Linked DNA regions of Arabidopsis thaliana. The protein of the gene in region 1 interacts with the protein of each later gene in a pairwise test. Each region holds a gene or a part of one and is shown in the gene's direction. Other genes may lie near its edges. The genes, in order: CHX10, CRK30, AT5G16590 and SPIK.

Region 1 (5,221 bases):
AACAAATTAAGGCGTTTGGAGAAGAAATTACCATGATCATTTCTGAGAGTTCTTTCTCGAATTTAAATTTTTTTTAATATAAAATATATTTGCGTTTAGTTTTGAAATAATAAGTATAAAAATATTCACCAAAAACAAAATAAGTATAAAAATTGTAGAATTAAAAGTGTATAGCAAGAATTAGTAAAAGTGGATAAATACAGATTAATGGTTAAGAAAAAATGTGAACTTGGCACATAAAAATTAAAATTTCTCTTTTTCAAGATCTAGATTGAAAGAAATTTTGAAAGATAACTTCGATAAAACGACCATAGATCCACAAACCCTTATATAATTCCGCATTTTTGTCTCCAGATATTATCTTCGATTGGAAATTCTCTGTTGCGTCTAGATCTTGTCCTCAATTTCATCATCTTGCTCTATTATCATGAATCTCACATCTTGTCCACCAATTAATCTGTATTTATTCAGTGGTAGATTTTGAAAGATTCTCATTTGAAATCAGCCTTTGAGCAAATCAAACGATTATATATTATTATTTTTGGTGTATTTTATTGTTAAAACATTTTCCAAAAATTTTACCATTTCTCACCATTAAAACAATAAAAAATACAACATTTTTTTGTATGTTTAATATTTGTAATATAATTTAACTTGAATACTGATTTTAATTATTTCATATTTCAGATGTTTTTAGTAATTGAGGTAATGAAAGGTAATAAGCACCAGAAATTTCAGATAAACTTTTGACCACCAGCCATATTAAACATTTTAATTATGGTTTGAATCTTTCCTCACTTTTTTGCGTATGTACGTCTAAACTAGATTTTAACCCGCGGTATACCACGGGAACAATTTATTTTTTAAAGTTAGTATATATATAAAAGTTTACAAATTATATCTATCTATAAAATAATTTTATTTTATAGTTTACAAATATTATTAAGTAACGTCCTGCCAAACCCGTCCTGTAAAAAAAACCATTTATTTTATTAATGTTGATCTTATTTATGATATGTTTATGAATCATTGTCTAAATATTTTGTAATTTTGTAGTAATTAAATGCTATCAGATTATATCTCTGCGCTTTGATGATTATAATCGAATTGTTATAGTTATGGAGAAAAGCAATATCAAAAATGATAATTTTGTAGTAATTAAATGATATTAAATATTTTAGAAGTATTATTTTAGTAAATAATCATGTAGTTAATATGAAGAGATTTTGGGAAGATTGTTAAATGTCAAATATTTAATTCGAAGATTTTCTTTTTAATTATCAAAAACAAACATTAAAATCCAGTGGCAACCATTGTAAATAAATCCGAACTACAGGATTTATTTCACAAAATGGTTGCAAAAATGTATATATAGATCTATCGGATTAATTGTATATCGGATTTTAGGGTGGTCACTAATTTTATAAGTATTATTAGATCGGAAAAAATATTATCAAGGGAAGGAAAGAAAAAAAATTGTAAACTTAGATTGAAGCAGTTGGAAAATATTTCTAGACTATAAACTTGGGTCCCCAAACAGAAACTTTGAGCTAATTTTGGCTCAAACCTCCAAGCTTGCAATTTTATTTAGCAAAGCAAATTCTTCATGTTCTAGATTTTACGTTTTTGAACAAACAAAATGGAAAAAAAAAACAGTTACTCTCTGGATATATATATTTTTTTTTTCTAAATTGGAAAGTTACATTTGTTCCAGAGAGATTATGACAGCTATTTACCAAAGACCAGACAAAAACAACACAAAAAACTAACAAGACTCTTTTCAAAACCCAAATTCAAAGAATGAACACTTTTTTTTCTTCTTTTCCAGAGACTTAAACTTTATAACACAAAAAAAAAGCATTTTCATCCCCAAGTTTTGCTAAGTTATTGGCTTATATTCATGAACACGACTACTTACATTGGGGATTGTCGAATATCATTCTTCAACATATCTTCCCAGGGATTTTGGGATAACCTAAAATCGCCTGATGTGGTTTTCGGCTACTCGCTGCCTCTCCTAGAGATTCAGATAATACTGATATTCTTCTGCATTGTCATGTCTCATATGTTCCTCAGATGCATCGGCATTTCCCAAATCGCTTCATATATGATTGTAAGCAAGTTTTCCATATCTAACTTGGCAAGCACACAAGATATTTCCAATTATTAGAACTACAAAAGTAGATGTAACTTGACAAGCACGTAAATTGTTTAAGGGACAAAGAAGATCATGCATGCGTGCTATTGAAGATATTTTTCAGAAACTGAAATCATATATATAAATTTATGTGCAGGCTGGAATAGTTCTAGGGCCTCAGCTTTTTGATGTACTAGAGAAATCTTCAGGGAAACTATCCGTGGATCCTGCGTTGGATGGAATCGCAGCGTTAAGATGCATCTCGGTGTTTGGAACACTAATGTTTACGTTTCTAATGACTGTTAGAACCAGCAGGCGAGTGGCGTTCCATAGCGGAAAATTGCCCGTTGTGATCGGGATCGTGTCCTTCTTTGCTCCTCTGTTTGGTCTCGGTTTCCAGAATTTTTTTTCTGACAACATCGACCCTCACTACATGCCTCTAACTAAAGCCCTAGGTGAGCGCACTGCGATTGTCATAACTCAATCTTCGATACTTTTGCCTTCCACTACATATATCTTGCTAGAGCTCAAGATCATCAACTCCGAGCTAGGTCGCCTTGCATTGTCTGCATGTGTCATCAACGACATCTTGGGGATTTTTTCCATGATAGTTGCCTCTATACAAGCGACCTACATTCATGTTTCACATGCAACAGCCTATCGTGACACTGTCGCGGTGATCATCTTTTTTCTCGTCGTCTTTCTTGTTTTTAAGCCTATGGTGCAATGGGTCATAGACCGCACACCGGAAGACAAGCCAGTGGAGGATATGTACATTCATGCCGTGATTATTACCGCATTGGCTTCCGCTGCTTATTTTGTGTTTTTCAACATGAAATATATTTTAGGACCATTAATGATTGGCATCATCATACCAGAGGGTCCACCATTAGGATCGGCTCTAGAGGCTAAGTTTGAGAGGCTCACAATGAACGTGTTCTTACCAATCTCAATCACATTCAGCGCGATGAGATGTGATGGAGCAAGGATCCTTAGCCAGTTCAATGACATCTTCTTCAACATCTTCCTAACATTTCTTATACTTGTCATAAAACTGGTCGCATGCCTTGCACCTTGCTTGTACTACAAGTTACCTCTCAGTGAATCCTTGGCTGTTTCCTTCATCTTGAGCTACAAAAGTTTTGCTGATTTTGTTCTCTATGAAGCTGTATTAGACGACACGGTAACCTCCTAACTCGCAAATAGTCGATTATTGGTATCATTTGCCATTAATCTAAACATTTTTTTATGGTTTGGTTTTGCAGTACATATCGCAAGCCACTTACTCGTTCTTAATCTTATATTCGCTACTAAATGCCGGGATTGTCCCTACTGTCTTAAGGAGGATGTACGATCCAAGAAGAAAGTACGTTAATTACCAGAAAAGGGACATATTGCATCTAGAACGAAACTCAGATCTTCGAATTCTAACTTGTTTGCACAAACCAGAAAACGTCTCAGAGACCATAGCATTCCTACAATTGTTGTCCTCACCGAACCTAGACTTCCCTATCGCGGTTACAGTTCTCCACCTTGTGAAGCTCGTTGGTCAGATAAACCCTATCATAGTCTCACACGACAAGAAATTGAAACGGCTTAACAAAGACTCATACATCCATACCGCAAACCTTGCCTTTAGACAATTCGTGTTAGAAAGCTTAGAGTCTGTAACCGTGACAACGTTCACTGCGTTCTCGCATGAAAACTTGATGCACGAAGACATTTGTACACTTGCACTTGACAAAACAACATCGATGATTGTCGTCCCATCGGGGAGGAAATGGACTGTAGATGGGTTATTCGAGTCTGACAACACTGCTATAAGACATCTAAACCAGTCGTTACTCGATCGTGCGCCTTGTTCTATCGGCATACTAGTAGACCGTGGACAATTCTCGCGAAAAAGTATTGTAACGAGCAAAAAAAGGTACATCATTGATGTTGGTGTGCTCTTCATTGGAGGCAAAGACGATAGGGAAGCACTATCATTGGTGAAGAGGATGAAAAATAACCCGAGGATCCGTGTAACCGTGATCCGACTCGTCTTCGACCATGAAATAGAGTCAGATTGGGATTATATTCTTGATAACGAAGGCTTAAAGGATTTGAAGAGTACTGAAGACAACAAAGATATTGATTATATAGAGAGGATTGTGACTAGTAGTGTTGAGGTAGTCAAAGCTGTCCAATTGCTTGCAGAAGAGTACGATCTAATGGTGGTCGGGAGAGATCATGATATGACATCACAAGACTTATCAGGACTAATGGAATGGGTCGAACTACCAGAGTTAGGTGTCATCGGGGATTTGCTGGCGGCTAGAGATCTAAGCTCTAAGGTTTCGGTTTTAGTAGTTCAACAACAACAACAACGAACGTGACATGTTTTGACCGCAAGACTGTGTGTATTCATTTAGGGCAAACTTTTAGAAAATTTTAAGATGTATAAATAGTCATTCATTTGTTTAAATATAATATGCGTATATATTCATACAAATTTTTTTACATTATATACAAATTAAACATACTTAGAATCCATAAGAAGGAATAACCATAAACTTTGATTCAGATTGTTATACTTCCTCCAGCTCAACTCTGTGTTTCTCAATCCGTCCTTTCACTCTTTCACTCTTTCACTAGCTTCTGGTATTCTTAGAACATTAGGTTGCCCAAAGCTGACACTGGTCTGTAAAGTCGAAGCGACTCCATGTTTATCTTCAAGAAAGAAACATGTTTCTTCAACTGCAAGAAACATTGTCTAAGAAGAAACCCTTTGAAAATATTAAAAACATTACCAGTTCTAGTTGGGAGAAAGTTTCTGAATTTGGGGTTTTATATTATATCTTTTGTTAGTCTTTGGAAATCTATCTGTTCATTTCCAATTTAATCTTCGGTTGCTTTGTTTCTTCCTTACTCTTCTCTTTTCTCCACTCCTCTAATATCACAGTGGTCTTGATATGATCAACAAAATTAAATTACAACCAAATGTAGCTTAATGTATATCTGCTTTCTCTAAGGGTTAATAATATCTCAAATCGAGTTTAAGGAAGAAGTATTAAAGACATTGAGCCTATCGATGGAGAAAGC
Region 2 (4,983 bases), on another chromosome or scaffold:
GTTTGTGTTTGTGTTTGTGTTTGTGTATGTTTGCCCTTTGATTATGAACGGTGAAATCTAGACTAATTTTGACAGTATGTACAAGATTAATCTAGATTATTGCCTGCATAGGCTGCATTAAAAAAATTGGTGTGTTTAATTGAACGACGCCGTGCTAAAATATCGAACGGCGAGATTTATAGCTTCAGTTTTTTTATTTGAAACACTGTCGTTTTGCATAAATAAAACGACAGCGTTTAGGTCGATAAATGACTGCGTATTGGTAAGTTGAGACGACAACGTTTAAAGCCGGCGTTTTTAAATTATAAACGGCAGAGTTTTGGTTAAGGGAACGACGGCGACGATGAATATGGTGTTTCCGAAGTAGTTTCAGGCGATGATGGTGAATAATATTACGAAACGACAGTGTTTAGATAGATTGGCGTTTGGATTTGCATTACTCGAAAACATTGTTGAAGGCGATGGTGTTTCCGACGTTGCGCGATACCCATGTCTCTTGAACTTTTCGGGTATGGCCATGTCTGGGAATCTCACAGATGAAGTTTCTAGTGAGGAAAGAAGTCAGAGCAAATGATATAACTTGTCATAAAGAAGAACAAAAGGGTTTTCAGATTGGTGGGATTAAGCCAAAGGGTTTTGCTCATGGAAGTGTTTGAGAAAGACTGCTTCTTGTGAAGATGCTTCTTGCGACATAGCTAATGAGGGTGAGGTTTCTTTGGATCTGATATTGATTCGGAGTATCTGGTTTTAGAAATGTTTGTGATAGAGACTAAAGGAGCCATTGTTGGCCAAATTAAGAATTGAATCGTATATAGAAGACATGAGACATGACTTATATAAAGAGTGTTTCAGTTTCCGAATCATCTTCTGCTTCAAAGTAAACTGTTATTAATCACTTTGAGTAGGTGGCTCTTTTTCTTTTCTCTTCAGGTTAAGATTGATGTCTTTTGTGTTTTGTGTTGTTTCTTTCTGATTTTTGGAATTCTTTTGGTCAGCTGCACTGTTTAATCTGAAGCAAGCAACCACTCGCTTTCTGTCAATTCGGTGGAAGTGTATGCTGAAACTTCCGGGAAGACTTGAAGTTGCAGAGACATTTTAAAGCAGTCAATGTATCTAACAGCTGTTCTCCGCTTCTCAAATCACTACTTTGCTCGGTAAGGCCGATATACCAAACAAAAACACAAATGTTCTTCTGTTTTGGCCTTTGATGATGAAACATTATGTTATTAGATTACTTGGATGCTACGGTTCTGTACTTCTGTTCATGTTTACTAGAACCTCTCTAGTTATCCGTGTTGAGTCGGTATATTGTGCTATAGTTAATGCGTTTCTTTCTGGTTCAAGCGAGCATGTTTTGGACCAAAAACCTTTTGGTAAAAAGAAACTTTGCAAAGTGCAATGAAGTTTGCATTTTGTTTGTTTTCTATAATTTACAAAATAACTCAAGAAAATGTAGTCCTCAGATTTATCACAGTGATCATCCATTTCAATCAATTGCTTCTTCAAGTACTCAGAGAGTCGCGTTGATTTAGAAAATGTTATTCATGATACTCCAAAAAGCTATTGATTGTCCTGCAACAACATGTTCAGAGTCTTGTTATGGCTTGAAGTAGTAGTTGAGAGTCACAGTGACTTGTTGGAATAACTCTGAGTGGTCCAGTTCATAATTTCTTTCTAACAAGTTGCCATTGTTTTATTTATATTCTCTATCCATATAATAAAATAATGTTTACAACTTGCTCTTATGAAAGGCATGGTTGTGTAAGTTAGTCTATATTCAGCTTGAGACACTAAAGAAACTCATCTATTCCTTTTTTGGAAAATGCGTCAAAATAATCTCTTCTCATTGATCTTCTGGCTTGTCCCTGTGAGCTTAATTATTGTTGTCTCTGCACAGTTATGCTCGGAGAAGTTTGGAACTTTTACACCAGGTGGTACATTTGACAAGAACCGCCGAATCATTCTCTCATCTCTTCCATCTGAAGTCACAGCTCAAGATGGCTTCTACAACGCTTCGATTGGAACAGATCCTGACCAACTCTACGCAATGGGGATGTGCATCCCAGGTGCTAAACAAAAGCTTTGTAGGGATTGTATCATGGACGTCACAAGACAGTTAATACAGACATGTCCCAACCAGACAGCAGCAATTCACTGGTCAGGTGGAGGGAAAACTGTATGTATGGCACGTTACTATAACCAGCCGTCTTCTAGACCATTGGATTTGGAATCAGTTTCTATTGGTTATAACGTTGGAAATCTCAGCACAAACTTAACAGATTTTGATAGATTATGGGAGCGATTGATAGCTCATATGGTGACTAAAGCTTCATCAGCATCAATAAAATATTTATCATTTGATAACAGTAGATTCTATGCAGCTGATGAAACAAACTTGACAAATTCTCAAATGGTCTACGCTTTGATGCAATGCACGCCAGACGTCTCTCCTTCCAACTGTAACACTTGTTTAAAACAAAGTGTTGATGACTATGTTGGTTGTTGTCATGGGAAGCAAGGCGGCTATGTGTATCGGCCTAGTTGCATTTTCCGGTGGGATCTATACCCTTTCAATGGCGCCTTTGATCTTCTTACGCTAGCGCCTCCACCCTCATCTCAGCTGCAATCCCCACCTCCAGTGACCAACAAAGGTATGTGATTTACTTAAATAAATGATAGAAATAACCCTTCTTGTATTCAACTCTAAGAAGAGCTAGGTGATTTGGTCTTGCACAGATGAAAAAACGATTCATACAGGAACTATCATTGGGATTGTCATTGTCGTTGCAATGGTCATAATCATGGCTCTGCTTGCTCTAGGGGTTTCTGTTTGCAGGAGTAGAAAAAAATATCAAGCTTTTGCCTCAGAAAGTGAGTTCCTCTTGTTTTCTTTCTTATCAGCTGGTCTTGCTGCTAATTTACGAAAGAATTTCACCGACCTGACCATAAAACCACCTACATTTTCATTGTGCAGCTGCCGATGATATTACAACAGTTGGATATCTCCAGTTTGATATTAAAGACATTGAAGCTGCAACAAGTAACTTTTTGGCGAGTAACAAGATTGGTCAAGGTGGTTTCGGCGAAGTTTACAAGGCATTTTCTCCCCAACTACTCTTAAGTTGTATTTGTGTTATGTTTGAAGATATTGAGATAGTGGGATGATTAGTTAGATTCAGTTGTAATATGCAGGGTACGTTATCAAATGGAACTGAAGTTGCAGTCAAGAGGCTGTCAAGAACTTCAGATCAAGGTGAATTGGAGTTCAAGAACGAGGTGCTTCTTGTAGCAAAACTTCAGCACCGGAATCTCGTTAGGCTTCTCGGTTTTGCTCTGCAAGGAGAAGAAAAGATACTCGTCTTTGAGTTTGTTCCCAACAAGAGCCTCGATTATTTCCTCTTCGGTAGTACTAGTAGTCTAATTTTCCTCTTGATCCAATATTCTTGAAATCTTAAGCTTGGATTTGCAAATGGATGTGCAGACCCAACAAAAAAGGGTCAGCTGGACTGGACAAGACGGTACAACATCATTGGAGGGATTACACGAGGGCTTCTCTATCTTCATCAAGACTCTAGGCTCACCATCATACACCGTGACATCAAAGCGAGTAACATTCTTTTAGATGCTGATATGAACCCGAAAATAGCGGATTTCGGGATGGCTAGGAATTTCAGAGATCATCAAACTGAAGACAGTACAGGAAGAGTCGTTGGAACCTTGTTAGTATTCTCCTTATTATTTACAATGGGCACAATTCTCTGATGAACGGTTTTTGTTACTGACTAACGTAAACATTGTCATGTATATATTTGCAGCGGTTACATGCCTCCAGAATATGTTGCGCATGGCCAATTCTCTACCAAATCCGATGTCTATAGCTTCGGAGTATTGATTCTAGAGATTGTTAGTGGCAGGAAGAATAGCAGCTTCTATCAGATGGATGGTTCTGTTTGCAACTTGGTCACATATGTGAGCTGAAATCTAAAATGCTTTTTTTACTTTCTAACTGTGATCATCGATTCTGAATACGAGTTTGTTTGCAGGTTTGGAGACTTTGGAACACTGATTCATCTTTAGAGCTCGTAGATCCGGCGATTAGCGGAAGCTATGAGAAAGATGAAGTCACTAGATGCATCCATATCGGACTTTTATGCGTTCAAGAAAATCCTGTGAATCGACCAGCATTGTCTACAATATTCCAAATGCTCACTAATAGCTCCATTACTCTAAATGTCCCTCAACCACCTGGATTTTTCTTCAGGAACAGACCTGAGTCAGACACATTACGCCGTGGATTGGAGCCAGACCAATATAACAATGAATCTGTTACTTGTTCTATCGACAATGCAACAATCACTACACTCCTCGGTAAAACTCTTGCTTCTGCACTCTGTTGTATTACCTCAACTCTATTTTCAAAGTCAATGTATAGAAACACTGAGGATTGAATTATTTTTGAATATTAAAAGTTATCTCATTTTGATTCTGGTTTATGTATTCACGTTCATTTTTTGTTAAGAATAAATGCTTGGCTCACCTGCCCAATAACATCTTTTTTTGACCAAATCAAGGTTCTCAAAATAGTACGGTGAATGAAATCAAACTAGGCTATCCACTGTTTTATCCTCACATGTTTCTGCTTTGTGTCTTCCTTCACAAAGATGCAGGGACTCAGTATTTTAGACCCAACGGTACTCATTCCTTAATGGAGACTAAGAGATTTTTAAAACAATAGGAACCGACGACTTAAATACTTGTGTTTGGTCATTGCTTGTTGCATTGTGTTTTGGAGTAAGTTAGAACGTTTTGGTGTCAAATAGGGCCTAGAAGAGCTACAGATCAAGAATTGGTCTACGTTCACTTTCATCATATTTACCTAACGTGTTTATAAAGTATTAAATTATCCAAAACGTTGACCTAGGTGACTTGTGCATTAATGCACGTATCCACTACTTGACGAAAATTCTACACGCGAAAGCTGTT
Region 3 (4,696 bases), on another chromosome or scaffold:
ATATTTAAAATGTATTTCCCAAATAATATAGTAGGACTAAAAAGCTTTGAATCTTATAATACTTTAACGAAAAAAAATTTGAACTAAACCAAATATCATAACTGTCTGTGAGCTATTATTGTATTCGCACCACCCAATTAGAATTTTGATAGGTACTACAATATTAAGTTTGTGATAACAGCCAATTATTACAATTGTTTGGTGGGTCATTATGTTCCCGTGACTCTGGGCTATTTTGTATATATGTCACTATTTTTGCCTTTCTTGTTGTAAAATTTCGAAAGCTCTTTATTTTCATTGGTGGGAGAGTCCTAATCTTCTTAATTTCTTATCATATAGTCCCAACTTGTATGTTTTGTAATTGTAATAACAAGTTGGACCGACGGGATATTGTGTAATATGATTGGTAATACGCAAACGCAAAGTAACATCACAGAACAATGCTCACACGGAAAATATGAATTCATAAAATTTTATCATTATATGAATGGAAAGTGGGAAAAAAGCATACATTACGAAATTGTTTTTTGCATGACATAAGAAGAACCATTTAAAAACTTGGTAACGTCAATTTATGCTAGTTAAGTACTATACTCTTTCGTCAAATAAAGAAAAATGCTAGTAGTAGTAGAGTAGACTGATATTGTTGTCCCATGAAATAAAAGGGGCTTCAAATATATAGTTTGATTTAAGAACCCATTCTTGTATAAGCCTATTTTATGGGCCGTAATCAATAATAATAATGGGCTTACTTTCTACAATGTACTCTTAACTGAATATCAATTATAGTTTGGGCCGAAATAAAAACGTTGGTCTCATCAAAATCCTAATTGTTTTACTTTAATATCATGTCTTCAGTACTAAAATACTAATGAGGTAATCTAATTTGTATATTTTCTTCCCAAAAATTTTCGATATGAGTTATTCCATTTTAATACAGAATATATTCTTACTTTTAGAGGAAGTAAAATTTTGAAACTACTCAAATCCTATTCTATATATGTACAAACACATTTTTTTTCTGCCGATGACTTAGATAGACACAAAGCTAAGAATTTCATATTGTAAAAAAAGTTAACACGTAAATATGTTCCACATATCCGAAAGGAATTTAAATTAGTAGTGGTTCAGTATTATTAAGTCAGACATTTTTAGGAGACGTTCAATAATATAACATACTTTCCCAAGAGTTGCATGTTTCCATCGTACATAATAAAACCATAACTAAACAATTTAAATTATTCATTAAAAATAAAAAAACGGATAGTATTTGTTTAATTTTCACATTAAAGTATCTTTTAATTAAGTATTTATTATTATCTTTTATCTACTTATGTAATGTTTATAACACTTCTTACAAATCTCTCCAGATTCCTTCATAAATGGAAACAAAAGCATTTAAATATGTAAATCATATGATTTGTTACTGAAAATGCTAAATTACACAATAATAAAAAGATGTAAGAATATACAGCAAACTCATTTCTTCTTGCTGTAAAAATAATCGCACGGAATATTTAAATAAATTAATAAAAGATTCTGTATCTCACTGTAAAAACTAAAAAGGTAAAAAATTGAACAATTAACTTTTTCTTTCCATTCACTGCAGTCTGCAATTAATAGCCTCTCTCTCTCTCCTCCTTCATCATCTCCCCATAGCCGTCGAGACAGATAGAGAGAGCTGAAATTTCTGTGAGAAGATTTTCTTCCGACATTTTCTCTTTCCAAACACTGTTCTACACGTAGTCGGAAATCTCGGAAAAACCAATCTCCGAGTCAGAGAGAGAGAGAGAGGCGTTCACTGTTGTAAAGGATTAAGCTTTGGGTAAGAAGAAGATGAAGAACAAGACCAATTTAGGTCTCTCAGTCTTCTTCTTCTTTATATGTCTCGTTTCCGTGACATCAGATCTAGAAGCTGATCGACGAGCTCTAATCGCACTTCGTGACGGTGTTCATGGGCGTCCATTGCTGTGGAATCTAACAGCACCACCGTGTACTTGGGGAGGAGTCCAATGTGAGTCGGGTCGTGTCACAGCACTCCGATTACCCGGTGTGGGTTTATCGGGTCCATTACCAATCGCCATCGGAAACCTTACAAAGCTCGAAACTTTATCATTCCGATTCAATGCTCTTAACGGTCCTCTCCCGCCGGATTTCGCAAACCTAACTCTTCTCCGTTACTTGTATCTTCAAGGAAACGCATTTTCCGGCGAGATTCCTTCGTTTCTCTTCACTCTACCAAACATTATTCGGATCAATCTCGCCCAGAATAATTTCTTGGGTCGGATCCCGGATAATGTCAATTCTGCAACCCGGTTAGCTACTCTTTACTTGCAGGATAATCAACTCACCGGTCCAATCCCGGAGATTAAGATTAAGCTTCAACAGTTTAATGTCTCATCCAATCAGTTAAACGGGTCGATTCCGGATCCGTTGTCGGGTATGCCCAAAACCGCCTTTTTAGGCAATTTGCTCTGTGGGAAGCCGTTAGATGCTTGCCCTGTCAATGGCACTGGAAACGGTACTGTGACGCCTGGAGGAAAAGGGAAAAGCGACAAGTTATCTGCCGGAGCTATTGTCGGAATAGTGATCGGCTGTTTCGTCTTGCTTCTCGTGCTTTTCTTGATCGTGTTCTGTCTCTGTAGAAAGAAGAAGAAAGAGCAAGTCGTCCAATCGAGAAGCATCGAAGCAGCTCCTGTTCCGACCTCATCAGCAGCCGTGGCTAAGGAATCGAATGGTCCTCCTGCGGTGGTGGCTAATGGTGCATCTGAAAATGGTGTATCAAAGAACCCTGCTGCAGTGAGTAAAGATCTGACATTTTTCGTGAAATCTTTCGGCGAGTTTGATCTTGATGGATTGCTGAAAGCTTCTGCGGAAGTACTTGGTAAAGGAACGTTCGGATCTTCGTACAAGGCCAGTTTCGATCACGGATTAGTGGTGGCTGTGAAACGATTGAGAGATGTCGTGGTTCCTGAGAAAGAGTTCAGAGAGAAATTGCAGGTTCTTGGATCCATAAGCCATGCCAATCTTGTGACATTGATTGCATATTACTTCAGCCGCGACGAAAAGCTCGTTGTTTTCGAATACATGTCTAGAGGAAGCTTGTCTGCGCTGTTACACGGTAACAAAATAAATAACTCTGTTTATTGTTTGATTCTTTAGTAGTGATTACAGATTTTTTAAAACCAATTTTTTGGAATGAATTCGTAGGGAACAAAGGAAGTGGCAGAAGTCCATTGAATTGGGAAACGAGAGCCAATATAGCATTAGGAGCCGCAAGAGCAATTAGCTACCTCCATTCGCGTGACGCGACAACATCTCATGGCAACATTAAATCATCTAACATTCTATTGTCAGAATCCTTTGAAGCTAAGGTCTCTGACTACTGTCTTGCACCTATGATCAGCCCTACTTCTACACCTAACCGCATTGATGGTTACCGAGCTCCTGAAGTAACCGATGCTCGTAAAATCTCCCAAAAGGCTGATGTTTACAGCTTCGGTGTTCTCATTCTTGAATTACTCACAGGTACAACAACACACACAAAAACAGAGAGATCTTGAAAACCGTATTTTTGGTCAAAATGTTGATTCATATATTGGTTTTTGTATTGATTTGCAGGGAAATCTCCAACGCATCAGCAGTTACACGAAGAAGGAGTAGATTTACCGAGATGGGTTTCATCGATCACTGAACAACAATCACCATCAGATGTGTTTGATCCAGAGCTCACAAGGTATCAATCGGACAGCAATGAGAACATGATCAGGCTTTTAAACATCGGTATAAGTTGTACGACTCAGTATCCAGATAGTCGTCCTACAATGCCTGAAGTCACAAGACTCATCGAGGAGGTTTCTCGTTCACCTGCTTCACCAGGTCCTTTGTCCGATTGATTGTATTTTTCTTTTTCAATATATGGGGTCTAAATTGATCATTTCAAAATTGTTTGGTCTAAATTTGAATTTCTTTATATAGTTTGGTCTTTAAGTCAGTTGAGAGATCTACGTTGAAGTTTTTTTTTTTTTTTTTGTGTTTCTTAATTTTTTTAGTGAAATTTTTTATATACAAATTGATTGAGTGTGAAACAAATTATATCTCTCCTTTTCTATTGGTCGGCCCATCAATTTGAATATAGTAACTTTAACTTTATTTCATGAAACTTATCCACTATTGACTCTTTCTTTCTAACGAACTAGCAAATAAAACGGCAGAAACAAAAAAGAAGGAGCCTGATTATTATATGTTGGTAAATTATAAAAAGTTGTCAAACAAATTTTGTTGATATATTGTGTCTGATTCTTCTCTCCGACCAATCATAAAATGCATGTCAACGACACATATTTTCTGTCTTTCCTCAATTTCAAGTTTTATTTGTATTAGTGACTAAGACTAAGTATCTAAATACTTATTACAAACTCCATGGAGTAAATATAATTTTAGGTAACGGGTCTATTTAAAGTTTCTAAGTTGAATCTGTCAAGTTAGTCCCCACCTTTCAAATTCAAATTCAGATAATTTGGTGAAGCCATCAAAACAAAAGTTTCTTCATTTTTCCTTTAATCGTTAAAGTAAATTTCAAGCGACTCTCTTTAAGAATAAAAAAAGAAAGAAAGATATACTATCTTTATAAATTGTATTGATCAAGACATATGCAGAGGGTTTCGGAAAATCATTTACGGACTTAATGTGTGAA
Region 4 (6,919 bases), on another chromosome or scaffold:
GCTGAATCTTCAAAAGAAGCATCTGGATGCAGAGATGAAGCTAGGCGAAAACATTCATTATCAGGTAATGGATCAGTGGTGAGATCATGTAGGCCTGAACTTTACACTTACCGTAGTACACTGACGAAGTTATTTGCTTCTGGCTCCCTAAGTTGGGATCAGGAAGCATCACTAACTGATCTCCGACTTTCTCTTAATATATCAAATGATGAACATTTGATGGAGCTAAGAAATCTCAAGTCTGCCGGTACCCACAGTTAATTTTGTTAGTATCTATTATATCTTTTTGATCCTTGACAGTCTTATCTTCAGGTGTTGGCCATACTTCCCTGCAATGTGGAATCAACTGTTGTATATTGTTCTGTTACCGGAGGATTGTTAAAATGATTGTATAGACAGCAGAAGGGAAATAACTCTGACTGAAAATTTCAAATCCTCATTGTGATGTTTTCTTCTTATAGTCTAATTTTCTTTGTTGTACTTTCCGGATGATTAAACTTAAACAAAAGTTACAGTATCTGTGTTCTAAGATGAGTCATGTCTTTTCTTCATATATATACTTTAGTTTATTGTGTTTAAGCTTCTGGATAAGTCGAGTCATTTGTCTTCTCCTCATCAGTGATGGATTATTGAACTTACCTTACATTTTTCAGGAAAACTGTAGCCATGTTGGGTGACTGCAGATCTTGCTTGCTTCTAGAGATCTTACTCTGATGCATGAGGTTAACTGAATGGTGCAAAACACAATGCCCCTTCTTCCTCAAAATTCATAATTTAAATTGTGCTGTGTTTTCTTTTTGGCTGTACATAACTGATCTGTTTCAGGTGTTCTTGGATATATATACCCTCTTTACACAGGCTGTGAACTGTTCCTAGCCGAAGGATAATCATTTACAGTCTGCAGGTTGGATAAGTTTGCCGACGATTGGTAAGTATTAGGTTGAAAGTTCTTTATGAACTGTGTCTATCTGAGACAGTATTGAGGTTGTGTGGAATACTTTTACTCTTTCAGCAAATGTGACCAGTAGATTGTGGAACTGTCCATGCTTGTTTGTTGGTGGTATATGTACAGTTGGCCTGGTCATCAAAATCTACAGAAAAGTACTCAATTTTTATGAAATCAAGGCTATGACATTTCAAGCTGAATTACCGAGGTGCGGGGATTCAAACGTTAGCATAAATATTATGATCGGTGTGTATAGACCTCTGCATAAATCAAACGTGTCTAGCTGCTCGCTTGTCAAATCCAACTTTTTCCCTATGTCTCAAGCTTAAAGAAATTGAAAAGACTCAGAGAGGAAGAAGAAGCCTTGCGAATTGCGATGTTCTTATGCCATCACTATCGGTTTTATATTCGCTTATACTCTACACTAAGAAAAATAATCGAATTGAATATTTCTGATTCTTTAGAACTCATGTTAATTCAAAATTTTATGGTTGTTACAAAACTTATGAACAACATTATGATCTGCATTAACTTATAATGTTTTCAATGTGTTCTATGTAAGATTGACATTATTTGGAACCACCTGTTTTACTTATATTATTTTATTCTTGACTTGAAGTTGATTTGTGGCTTCTACATGTCACTAGCTTGAGTTTCACCAGAACTTCATAAAATCAAATTCCTTTGCAACTTAAAAGCATCAGAGAAACCAAACAGAAAAGCAGTAGCAGAAAAAGTTACTTGGGTTGCGTTATTGATTTTATTCAAAGCCAACAGACGCAAACATGTAACTAACACAGTTACCAAAACTGTCACAATTAAGCTTTCCAAGTACCAGAGTAGATTGATTCCAGGAAATGATTATCTAAATACCAATTTGCGCATAAACCAACCTCCTCCTTCTTTCTCGATTTACCAAGCGTTTTTGGATTGTAGTCCTCCTATTTGAATTTTGCCAATTATTGAACAACAGAAACTTGTATGATGTTTTTAAGTATTGGTAATATTAGTATGTTTGGGGGACAAACAAAAGCCTAATTAACCAAAAAACTATAGTTAATATTCAGTTCCCAGAGCAAAACGGAAAAAAACATGCCAATTTGTTAATTTTGAAAGTTTCTATGAGCACTAAAAGACCAATGAACCGAAATATACTTGCTATTTTTGTGGCTACAAAAGCAGAAAAAGGAGGGAAAATAGTTACCTGTTGGGGCCCACAACAAAAAAGAAAGAAACAAACGTAACAGAAAAAAGGATATAAAAGGAAATTCGAAACCGGCGAATTCGGAGAAAAAAAAAAAAAAACCTTGCGTGTTTATCCGCAAGGGATTTTGATTTTGGAAAAAGAAAGAGAGAGGGATCTGAAGCATGGAGAAGAAGAAGGTATGGTTTTGGGGTGTGAAAGACGACGGCGAAGGAGGCGGAGGCAGAGGAGGAGGAAGAACCAAAGATGCGGAGGATGATGTTGCTGACCATTTATCTCGCGACGGGACGATGAGTCAGTATAGCCTTAGCAAAGGCCTTCTTCCTTCTCTTGGAGCCAACAATCGTTCCTCTCGTGACGTCATTCTCCCTCGCTTCATCGTCTCTCCTTTTGATCCTCGTTACAGGTCCGTTTTTTCAAATTTTGACTCTGTTTTAATCTAATCGCTAAATTAGGGTTTAGCTGAGGTAAAACATTATTTTTCAGAGCGTGGGAGACGTTTTTGGTGTTTTTGGTGCTCTACACAGCTTGGGCATCACCTTTTGAATTTGGGTTTCTGCAAAAGCCAAGACCACCTCTCAGTATTCTCGATAACATTGTCAACGGGTTTTTCGCTGTTGATATAGTCTTGACATTCTTTGTTGCCTTCTTGGACAAGGTAACTTATCTTCTTGTCGATGATCCAAAGAGAATAGCTTGGAGATATGCGTCGACTTGGCTGATTTTCGACGTGGTTTCCACATTTCCTTACGAAATTTTTGGGAGCTTGCTTCATGAGAGTATTCAGGGATATGGTATTTTCAGTATGCTACGTTTATGGCGTCTTCGTAGGGTCAGTAATTGTTTTGCCAGGTGAGTTCTTTGGCCGGTTTATCGTTCCAGCCAAAACGTTTAAATTCCAGCTGAGTATAATATTGATGTCTTCTTTTCAGGTTAGAGAAAGACAGGAAATACAGTTACTTTTGGGTTCGCTGCTCGAAGCTTCTCCTTGTAAGTAGCTATTGTCTACTTGTTTTTTACACTCTTTTTGGTTTCAAATGAACAGTTTTTTAGCTGTGAATTTACAGTATTTGATTTGGTAATGCAGGTTACTCTTTTTGTGATTCATTGTGGTGCTTGTTTCCTCTATTCCATTGCTGCACATTATCCAGATCCATCCAAGACGTTTATGGCATTAACCGATGAAAATTGGAAAGAGTCTCCTATTGCAGTGCGGTATAACACGGCAATGTATTGGTCCATAACTACTTTCTCCACAACTGGTTATGGTGATATACATGGTGTTAACTCAAGAGAGATGACTTTCATTCTTTTCTACATGGTTTTTAATCTTGGACTGTCAGCATATATAATTGGTAATATGACCAACTTGGTGGTTCATGTGACCGGCCGCACCAGAAAATTTGTAAGTTCTATGTACCGGTACTGTTAACTGCACTTCTCTGAAAATTAGTCTGGTCTCAGTGAAGTTTCATGAGTCTTAAGCATTTGCATTATTTTAGAGAGATACCATCCAAGCCGCATCAGGGTTTGGTCAGAGGAACAATCTGCCAGTGCGGTTACAAGATCAGATGGTTGCTCATTTGTGTTTGAGGTACAGAACTGATTCAGAAGGCTTACAGCAGCAAGAAATAATCGATTCTCTTCCCAAAGCTATTCGGTCCAGCATATCACATTATCTGTTCTATGAAGTTGTTGACAAAATTTACTTGTTCCATGGAATATCCAATGATCTTCTTTTCCAGTTGGTATGTTTCCCATAACGCAAGAAGTCCTGCATGCTAAAAGTGGTCACTTTATTCACATTAAGTCTTAACTTACGGTGTCCTGTAGGTCACGGAAATGAAAGCAGAGTATTTTCCTCCCAAAGAAGATGTGATTTTGCAAAATGAAGCCCCAACAGATTTCTACATATTGGTGACCGGAGCTGTTGTAAGTGTTTTTCGTACATTCCTGACACATTCCTTTATCATCATGTATTATTCCTGACACATTCCTATGTCATTCAGGACATAATTGCACGTGTAAATGGAGTGGAGCAGGCAAGTCTAGCTTTTATTATACCGTTTCTTTTTAAGATATGATTGTGTTCTTCTTTAACTTTGTTGCAATTGGAGAACCAAAACATATTTGATAATGTTTTTGTGTATGTGTTTCTTTACAGGTAGTTAGTGAAGCACAGAGAGGACATGTTTTTGGTGAAGTTGGGGTACTATGTTACAGACCGCAGCTGTTTACTGTTCGTACCAAGCGATTGAGTCAGTTGCTTCGTCTGAACCGTACAGTACTCTTAAATCTTGTTCAGGCAAATGTAGGAGATGGAGCAATAATCATGAATAATCTTCTTCAGGTTTGTAATAACTCTGAATAGTACAGTTTGTTTCAACCTGTTGACACACAGGACCAGTTCCATAACAGATATGTTGTGGTTCATGCAGCATTTAAAAGACTCAGAAGATCCAGTGATGAAAGGCGTTTTGGCTGATACAGAACACATGTTGGCTCAAGGGAAAATGGATTTACCTCTCAGCTTGTGCTTTGCTGCAGCCAGAGGAGATGATTTATTGCTGCATCAGTTACTAAGACGAGGCTCAAGCCCTAATGAAATGGATAAGGACGGGCGAACTGCGCTGGTAAGCCCGGATTTCCTTTGTATATACCATCATCCTCCTTTTAATGCCTAAACCAAATTTGCTCACTCTCTATGTTTCTTCTTTGAATATCTCAGCATATAGCAGCATCAAAGGGAAGCCATTATTGCGTCGTTTTACTTCTCGAACATGGAGCAGATCCTAACATTAGAGGTAAGTAGTAAAAAATAATGTTTCACTAGGTCAATTAGCTTAGGATGATAGGATCATGTAGTACTAAATTATCGGTGGCTCGTACATTGTTTACAGATTCCGAAGGCAATGTACCCTTGTGGGAAGCAATCATAGGAAGACATAGAGAAATTGCTAAACTCCTTGCAGAGAATGGAGCAAAGCTAAGCTTAGACTCAGTGAGCTATTTCTCTGGCTTAGCCGTGGAGAAAAACTGCTTAGACGCACTCAAAGACATCATCAAATATGGCGGCGACGTCACACTCCCTGATGGAAACGGAACCACAGCTTTACACAGAGCAGTGTCAGAAGGACACTTGGAGATTGTGAAGTTCTTACTAGACCAAGGTGCTGACTTGGACTGGCCGGATTCTTACGGATGGACTCCTCGTGGTCTTGCCGATCATCAAGGGAATGAAGAAATCAAAACCTTGTTTCATAATCACAGGCCTGTGGAGAAAAAACCGAAACCTATCCCTGGAATACCTCAGAGTCCTGTGACAGGGAAGCCATTAATGAAGTATAGCAGTGAGCCTACAATGCATTCAGGAGAACTCGTCTTAGACGGGGGTCAGGTTGTTGTTTCTCAGAAACGGAAACTCAATAACTTCAGAAACTCGCTCTTCGGAATCATTTCAGCTGCAAATAGCGGTAAAACCACCTCACCTCTCCATCTGCTCTCTAGATACTCGTTGCTTTCTTGTCACGTAACCATAATTTTCAGAACTTTTCACATCACAATAGTCATTCTTATATACAATTCACAACGTTCATTACATTGTTCTGTTCCTTACAAATTTACAAATTTGGTTTTCATTTCTGGTTTTTTTCCAGCTGATGATGGAGGAGAAGTTCCAAGAAGTCCAGCGGTTCCTGGAGGAGGAGGTAGTATGATTTATCCGGAGAGAGTGACGATAAGTTCGCCGGAAAACGGTGAAACTGGTGGAAAAGTTGTTTTGTTACCAAATTCTATGGAAGAGCTATTGAAAATTGGTGAAAATAAGATGGGATTCGTCCCAACTAAAGTACTTACGAGAGAAGGAGCTGAAATTGACGACATCACTCTTATCAGAGATGGCGATTTTCTCCTTCTATCAAGGGATCCTTGATTCACACGCAACTCTCTTTCGATTTTGAGTAATGAAAACTATTTGTCTTAACGCAAACTCGCAAACCACCACAGTCAAGCTTTATGGTGGTGATATGATGCTAATATTAGGGGAAACCGTAAGCCCCAATCAACTCCGGGATTGAAATATCTTTTAGGTTTTTTTTTTTTGCTTTTGTGTATATATTCACTGCTTACTATTTTTCACATGTATATATATATATATCCTGTTGACTATTTTCTGTTAAAAGAACTCTCTAACAACCTCATGATATTAACATCGAAATCTACAAGAAGTATGGAAACAATCTTGTTTTTTTCAGAAAGCATACAAGGATAAAGGTCCTTTCTTAAACGTCTAGACAATCTTCTTCTCTAAGTCTCTAAGAAGAAGCAAGTGTTAAAATTTATAACTTTTGTGCGAGGTCGAGATTTGAGAGTAACTCCTCACTCATCTTTTCCAATCAAGCTTAAATCCTCTCTAGGTGACTTATCCTATTTCTGAGATGAATTATCATCTCATCTTTCATTTTTGTTTAGATCCATGATGGTAAAGTGATATTGATGGGACTTGGGAGCCAAAGCATTACCGAAAATGAGCACAATGATTGAGATAGAGTTAGAGACAACACACACTATAATATTATTATTATTTCATGCTTCAAATGCAAGAAGGTAATATTTGAATCAGACTCTAGAGAGCTTAATCTGCTCCCATCTCTCTGACCAATACGAAACATCCGCAATCTGCTCAATCAACCTAAAGAGGTGAAGTTGTATTTTATGTCTAGTTGAATTAAAACCCTTGTCAAATTAGACAATGGTTTAAGGTTGATGAG

Evidence for each region.
Region 2: the proteins of CHX10 (region 1) and CRK30 interact in a protein complementation assay, tested with the Arabidopsis thaliana proteins (one large-scale study listed by BioGRID).
Region 3: the proteins of CHX10 (region 1) and AT5G16590 interact in a protein complementation assay, tested with the Arabidopsis thaliana proteins (one large-scale study listed by BioGRID).
Region 4: the proteins of CHX10 (region 1) and SPIK interact in a protein complementation assay, tested with the Arabidopsis thaliana proteins (one large-scale study listed by BioGRID).

The regions. Positions count from the first base shown.
Region 1 is NC_003074.8:16,401,352-16,406,572, reverse strand, and holds CHX10 (cation/H+ exchanger 10), read left to right. Parts: upstream 1-1,748; 5' UTR 1,749-1,900; coding exon 1,901-2,113; intron 2,114-2,294; coding exon 2,295-3,320; intron 3,321-3,402; coding exon 3,403-4,515; 3' UTR 4,516-4,682; downstream 4,683-5,221. UniProt on the Arabidopsis thaliana protein: May operate as a cation/H(+) antiporter.
Region 2 is NC_003075.7:6,962,646-6,967,628, forward strand, and holds CRK30 (cysteine-rich RLK (RECEPTOR-like protein kinase) 30), read left to right. Parts: upstream 1-1,822; coding exon 1,823-2,651; intron 2,652-2,736; coding exon 2,737-2,871; intron 2,872-2,974; coding exon 2,975-3,096; intron 3,097-3,192; coding exon 3,193-3,412; intron 3,413-3,481; coding exon 3,482-3,719; intron 3,720-3,815; coding exon 3,816-3,969; intron 3,970-4,043; coding exon 4,044-4,448; downstream 4,449-4,983.
Region 3 is NC_003076.8:5,430,026-5,434,721, forward strand, and holds AT5G16590 (Leucine-rich repeat protein kinase family protein), read left to right. Parts: upstream 1-1,558; 5' UTR 1,559-1,836; coding exon 1,837-3,121; intron 3,122-3,210; coding exon 3,211-3,528; intron 3,529-3,621; coding exon 3,622-3,896; 3' UTR 3,897-4,161; downstream 4,162-4,696. UniProt on the Arabidopsis thaliana protein: Might be involved in early recognition of growth promoting fungi. Appears to be specific for P.indica.
Region 4 is NC_003071.7:10,892,289-10,899,207, forward strand, and holds SPIK (Shaker pollen inward K+ channel), read left to right. Parts: upstream 1-1,964; 5' UTR 1,965-2,314; coding exon 2,315-2,556; intron 2,557-2,636; coding exon 2,637-3,002; intron 3,003-3,082; coding exon 3,083-3,140; intron 3,141-3,237; coding exon 3,238-3,555; intron 3,556-3,652; coding exon 3,653-3,898; intron 3,899-3,983; coding exon 3,984-4,082; intron 4,083-4,159; coding exon 4,160-4,192; intron 4,193-4,314; coding exon 4,315-4,500; intron 4,501-4,588; coding exon 4,589-4,783; intron 4,784-4,878; coding exon 4,879-4,954; intron 4,955-5,050; coding exon 5,051-5,623; intron 5,624-5,806; coding exon 5,807-6,081; 3' UTR 6,082-6,384; downstream 6,385-6,919. Other genes in the region: AT2G25590 (Plant Tudor-like protein), read left to right, coding at 1-64, 877-928, 1,013-1,154, 1,271-1,484. UniProt on the Arabidopsis thaliana protein: Highly selective inward-rectifying potassium channel that could mediate potassium uptake in the pollen membrane. Plays an important role in pollen tube development.